2 linked regions of the Bombyx mori genome follow. The protein of the gene in region 2 interacts with the protein of the main gene of each other region in a pairwise test. Links are inferred from orthologs where the notes say so. Each region holds a gene or a part of one and is shown on either strand. Other genes may lie near its edges.

The links.
Region 1: the proteins of serine/threonine-protein phosphatase 4 catalytic subunit (region 2) and immunoglobulin-binding protein 1 interact in binary tests that used the Caenorhabditis elegans proteins (3 or more experiments, as listed by UniProt). The link is inferred for Bombyx mori from reciprocal best matches to the Caenorhabditis elegans genes pph-4.1 and ppfr-4.

The regions. Positions count from the first base shown.
Region 1 is NC_085111.1:1,744,911-1,749,337, forward strand, and holds the start of immunoglobulin-binding protein 1, read right to left. Parts: upstream 3,082-4,427; 5' UTR 2,972-3,081; coding exon 2,846-2,971; intron 2,249-2,845; coding exon 2,040-2,248; intron 1,390-2,039; coding exon 1,272-1,389; intron 784-1,271; coding exon 558-783; intron 1-557. UniProt on the Caenorhabditis elegans protein: Probable regulatory subunit of serine/threonine-protein phosphatase PP4 which may play a role in meiosis and embryonic mitosis.
Region 2 is NC_085122.1:4,600,395-4,602,923, forward strand, and holds part of serine/threonine-protein phosphatase 4 catalytic subunit, read right to left. Parts: intron 2,210-2,529; coding exon 2,028-2,209; intron 1,341-2,027; coding exon 1,151-1,340; intron 530-1,150; coding exon 400-529; 3' UTR 1-399. UniProt on the Caenorhabditis elegans protein: Protein phosphatase which plays an essential role in meiosis and in early embryonic mitosis.

The sequences.
Region 1 (4,427 bases), on a different chromosome or scaffold from region 2:
GCAATGCCATTGGAATTCTTCAAATTCCTATCTCAGGAACACAATGGACTCGGCATGCGCATGGTAAATACATATATGTTTTTTTTTTTTATTGCTTACTGGAGCCCATAGACATCCACAACGTAAGTGCGTTACCTACCTTGTGATATAAGTTCTAAGGTCTCACGTATAGTTACAACGGCTGCCCCACCCTTCAAACCGAAACGCATTACTGCTTCACAGCAGAAATAGGCAGGGTGGTGGTACCCACCCGCGCGGACTCACAAGAGGTCCTACCACCAGTAATTACACAAATTATAATTTTGCGGGTTTCATTTTTATTACACGATGCTATTCCTTCACCGTGGAAATCAATCGTGAACATTTGCTGAGTACGTATTTCATTAGAAAAATGGTACCCGCCTGAGATTCGAACACTGGTGCATCGCTCAACACGAATGCACCGGACGTCTTATCCGTTAGGCCACGACGACTTCAAATCAGTACTACTAATATATTACAATATAATATTGTACAATTGTAAATTATGCCTTTTCTCACAAAAAAAAAAATTTTACCTTCACCAGAACAACTAATCATTTCCAGTATAGGTTTCTCCCGTTCAATACTGCTAAGTTCATCCAAGACCTCATTGACGTAGCTATGTAACATCGTCAGAAAATACTCTCTTTTAACTTCGTCATCAACAATGGGTGATGACATAGCTTTTGACAATGTACCGAGTTTCTCTTTTAACTCTTTTGCTTCTTTGTATCGTTTTATTTTAGTTTCTCTACTTTGAACCTGAAATAAAAAATTACATTTACTTTACAAAGTAATTAAAGATAACACTTGCTGGCACATGACTCGTATGTACTGCTGTACTCATCAGTTTGATAATTACTATCAGGACAATCAGAATATTTTTTACATACTTTATTTATTATATAATCACACCTGCCTTCACTTGAAACAATATGATAACTAGATAACTGTGGATGTGATGATGGATTGTGGATGTGATGATGGATTGTGGATAGATGGATCTACAAACTGGAATACATACACATAAGTCCAATGATTGCAAAGTTATTTACAATGTAGTTGAAGTTGGAATTTAATGATATCACCAACTAAAGAAAATATGCCAAAAATACTGAATTCTATTTACTACATTTATTGGAAGTCTTGACAAGATCCCGATGACAGATTTTTTTAAATAACCAACTTTGAACTAACTTGCTTAAAAATCTGACCTTTCATTTCATAAGTATAAAGGACAATAATATTACCATTGCAGCTATTATATCTTGCTGGCTCTGTGGTCTAGATGAGGAACTGTTGCTATCACTTAATTGTGGGATCTCCACGTCTGTGACCCCATAGTCTTTGCATCTTTGAAGAAAATCTCTGTGAACGAAACAGTAATTTACTAAAAATAATATCAGCAGACAAAATTCTGATCTTTTACATGCTTTTATTGCATCTTTTAAATGCTTGTTTTACTCAAATGCCACTGCAATCTTACTGCCCAATTAGTTAATATGTAATATAAGAATACACTACTCCAAGGCTGCATCATTCATTGATGTTAATATTATTTGTTAACCAGCATTAGATAAATGAGCAAACAAAGCAGACCTATAATTAAATAGTAACTGGAACCTACTGGCAACACTAGGAAATGAAAGCACTAAAAATCTTGAGACTTGCAATTAAGCTATAATATTAGTGGCAAATCTCCTATCTACCGTTCAAACTGAAAACATGATTTCAGAGATAAACAGGATCATAACATTTAAATCTTCAATTGAATATCACAACATGTAAACCCTAGCCTCAAAATAAACTGGGAAAAACTCAGTAGGCTTATATCAGCTATAAGCCTAATATCTATAAGCTAATTCGTAATAGATGCCAATCAAAAACATTTAGCTAATTCTGTTATGGTGGTAGAGAGCCCTAGATTGTTTTCCAGCATCAGACATAATGAAAATAAGCAATGTGTACCAGATTGATGAACCTAAGCTTATGGTATTAAAGAATATAAATTGGATTACTTGAAATATATTTCCGCTACTTCGATAATATCTTTTCTGGACGGTCTGCAAATTTTCAACGTTAGGGTGCCAAGTAATGCAGGTAATAGCATGTACTTTAATGTTTCTGTAGGCAGCTCTTCCAACTTTTCATTTTTACTGAACATTCCAGAAAGTGACACTAGTTTCGTGGCCTTCTCGAACTTGGATATTGCAGTTTTTATGGTTACCTGTTATTTGTGATAATATTTAAAGCATTTCTAAATTTACATTTAATAGTTTCCATTCATATTTTTATTTTATTTTTATTGTAGTAGTAATTGAAATATGAATATATTATTTATTATAATAATAATAATGTTTTTATTTCAAGTATCCATGACTCATATAAATTGTTAATAAGACTTAGACCTATGTTAGTAGTTATATTTACATCACAATGAATTACTGTGGTAACATCCCATGGGAGATGGCACCACAGCGACCCATGTATATACAGTCCAGCCTGCTTGCGATCATGCTCAGGATACTGTTGGAGCTGGCCCTCACTCTGTTTACCAGAGATGCACACCTCTTACGCATGGTAGCGTAAAAACAATCTATGTGCGCGTCTGCAAACATCCCGGATGCGCTACAAAAGCGGGGCAGCACCACCAGCACCCTAAACGCGTTATTGTATTGAACACGGAGAGCATTGTACGATCTTTGAGTATATCCAGTCATTATGAATTTATTATAAATATATTTGTGATATAATATATATCACAAAATTTCATTACAACAATAAATATAATGTAGTCGGTTAAATATAAACAGCTCTAACCTACCTGAACACTGTCGCTATTCATAGGTTCTTTGACTGTTTCTACAGTTGTATACAATTTCATTCCTTGATCGAATATATTGCTCAAGGAATCTTCTAATATATCTTGCTCTGTATCAACTTCAGCCATTCCGGTTTATTTTAGTTTTCTTTACCAAATAAAATCGGCACTAAAACAATCAACAATTGTCACAATCTGATACTGACACTGACGTCTGACAACAGTGACACGTGACAGTGGGAAACAGTACCGTAAAATGGGGCGATTAGGGACAAATTCCAACTTTATGAGCAATTTTAAGGTAGTTGTTGATGTATATAATGCTATATCAGGATCAAAATGATTGAGTCTTGGGGGCATCTTTGTTGTCTAATTGAAAATTATGCAACTAGCGTTCCAGTTTAAGCAAAAAATGCAAAAATAGGTGTAATCCCTATTTACCCGAAAATTGCGGTTAATTGGGACGAAATGAGAAATTTGCTAGGGTTGGCACTACTTTTATTTTTATATAGAGTTTTAATTAATTTATTTATTTAGTTGCACCAACAAAGTGATCATCAATAAAAAAAATTGAAAAACTGACAAAAGTACATGGCAGACATCACCTCAATTATAGGTGCAATCGACAGTGCTGATATTTCTATCTGGGTTAAGAGATTAGGTGTGTCGGTTATTCCATGGATTAATCAGATGAATACCCCTACTCCGAACAAATATTAAATATTTTATTATGTATTACTTAGACATTTTTGTCCACCTTGAGATTTCATTGATCTTGTTACATGTCTCTGCAAAATCGACTTACTTATATTAAATTGCTTATCTATTTCAACTAAAGACTTATTCCCAATTTCGCTTCGAATAAACCAGATTTTTACCAACAAATTTAAAAAATATTGTTATATCTACATAGACAACCCTACAAACCTGTACCTATTTATACTTAGGTCGTTTCCATTTCACGTATTCTCATCCCAATTGACCTCTTTTTCGTTGTTATTTGTACCTAAGACGTCCCCAATATCCCCAAAAACAACAGATTTTTACATGTATTTTTATTTAATCAAATACATTAAAACCAATAACAACTGAGACTTACCTTTAATATATATGCTGGTTCAAACACTAAATAACGTTTATAAATCATAGTCGTCTTCTATTATTATCAAATAAATCAAAGAGAGCAAAGTTTCTAGCACTAAAATAATTACCACCACAGGAAGTTAATTTGAAACGCGATTTTTTATAAGTTAGTAGCTATTATCATGCATGTTCAGAGTTGTTTTGTGAACTTTCAACATTCTACTATTAAACTACAAAAAATGGAAGATTTTGCAACGAATATAAAACTTATATTGAGCGTCGAAAGATTTTCCCGGTTTTTTCCCGATTCGCCTCTCAATCCCTAATCGCCCCATTTTACCGGTAAATTATGTTAATTAATTTGCTTTGTTTAATTCGTCAGGCAAAGAAAACATCGCTTTTACAAATAAGTCTGAAGATTGAAATGTTGGACTCAAATCTTTGTAGCAAAAATATATTGAAACAAAGTGAAATTAACCTCTTCGTAAAATGTTGGCAAATG
Region 2 (2,529 bases):
TAATAACAGTACTTCACAGTAATACGCGCGCAATGTAATTTAAAAATTTAAATCATTAAATAAACATACTTAAATGACATTTTGAAGTTGATTTCTTCTCATACATTATCAATAAAATTTTGGTCATGTACATCACTTGAATGCAGTAAATCGTATTATCTTCCATCTCTCTATTGAATACATAGGTGCACTTACACTATGAAAACTAATTTTCGGACATTTTCCTTCCAATAATGCATAAGACAAATCACTTGTTCACAAACATAGTCACATCATTAACACTTGCCAGTCTTGAAATCACAAAAACAAATCTCTACATTAAAATTGTTTCGTCACTATATATATTATATTAAACCGAAATACAAGTTGTTCGTTTCAATTGTCTATCTTACAGGAACATTATAAGAAGTATTCGGCTAGGGGTTTCTTTGATGGTACTCCTCGAGATTCCTGCGGTGCTGCCTCGAATATTGTGAATTCACGTTGAAGATTTTCGTTTAACTCTAATATAGCAGCTACGTTTCCGCATCTGAATCAGAGAAGGAAAAACAGTGTGATTAGTGAGCACATACAGGTAACAAAAGATTTAATTTTCGAGTACAGTAATACATTAATATCTGCACACAATGCTGTATCCAGAAAATTTAAAGGCTATAATTTATGAGATTCCTTTATTTGGGGTGACAGTTTTCGGAGCTTAAGGTTATGAAGAGAGTACCGTCACCCACCTTGAGAAGATGAGGTCAAAATCTCAATTGACTTATAATAACTCTTATCGCTGTCCTAATCTTAAGCCTGGAAGTGAAATGGTCAAAATGGTCAAAATGGTGAAAATGACCTGTGATCTAACACACTCCCTAACACCAGTATTCAATATTTATCGCTTTAATTGTACTGAATAATGATATTAATTTTAAAATGAGTCTATTAAGTTTACTGAATTAAAATTACTTTTACAGTTCGATTTCATGTTTTGCATGGTCCCTAAATATTTATGATTGTTATATTTTCATGGTAAAGGATGACCGAGTGAGTTGTCACTGACATTTTGTCAGTGCCAAAGAAAACTATGTAGTTATCAAAACCTTGAGAATAATATGATACACTGAATTTAGGCAAGAATCTGTGGTCTTTTGTCGACAATAAATACCTGTAACAATAATTAGGTGCAGACCATACAGTCAACACGGTCTCGTTGAAATGCCATTTGTAGCCCTCCATGACAAGCTGATGAGCTCGACAGATCATATCAATATCATTTGACACGTTGAATTGAGCGACTACATCTGAGCCAAAGAGATAGCCAGCTCCTCTTGGTGAAACACCCCAACCTTGTGTATCTGCAATAGATAAAACCATAATCTCAGTTCTTTAGGTAAAGAAGATTAAAAATATTTAGAATTAGATTTTAGTTAACTAGCCCAAGGATCATAATAATAATTCTTTCTTTACATGTCACCATTTTATTTCCCCTCCATATTAATCCCCAGAATATAATAATAACTACAAACCGAAGATACAAGGAAAATACTGTCATGAAAATTTATGATCGTTTTCCTCTTTTGAGTTTATGGGTTAATTTATTTTTATCACAGAATGTCATCTGTTCATCCTTCACCATCGAAGTAAATGTTTTGCAGTTACCTGCCAGAGGAATTGTACTCAGATGCGGTTGCATTGCTTGATCAAAGTTGATTGCATGATTTACCAATTACATCACTAGGCACTGATCACATTATGTAACTTTAGGTAAGGTGGATTTTCACAAATGTTCTTGGTTCTATTCTATATTCTAGTTCAGGATACAAACATCCATACAAATATTTTAAATGTGAAAGTGTTTGTTTGCCTTTTTTTACGTCGCCAACGAAACAATGCATTCACATGATTTTTTAAGGTCAGGAGTATGACATAGGCCACTTTCTAACCAGAAAAACATGTTTGTCCCAGGGGAAACTATACTGGCACTTTTCCTTAATCACGCGGACGAATCCAAGAGTGACAGCTAATCATTGTTTCATATTTACCTTCAGGATCACTCCACAACAAGTCACACATTGGTCCGTCGTGAGGAACTTCCTGCTTTCGATCAATAGTACGAATCTGATCTAGGGTGTGTATCGACGGACTTAGACCGCCGTGTACGCAGAATATCCTTCCATCGATAATGGCTGACAGTGATAAATAGTCAAATATTTCTGTACAGTATCTGGAATAAATAGCATTTTTCCTCTATAGATAGATAGATTTTTAAGAGTTGATTGTCAACAAAGAAATCTGAGCATGGATTTGAAATCAGAGATAATAGAATCATAATTAGAAAAAAATCTTTTAATGAGTTTTAGTCTAAAATGTAAAGTAGTTCTTTCCACTAACAAAATCAGTACAGGGATCTTATTAGGAGATTCTTGCCCACAAAAAAAGGCTAGCTACATTCACATCATCTTGTCAATTGTTATTGTGTGAATAGAAAGCATGATTTTGCTCATGAAAAGGGTTGTTTTTCTTTTCAAAAGATGTGTGAACAAA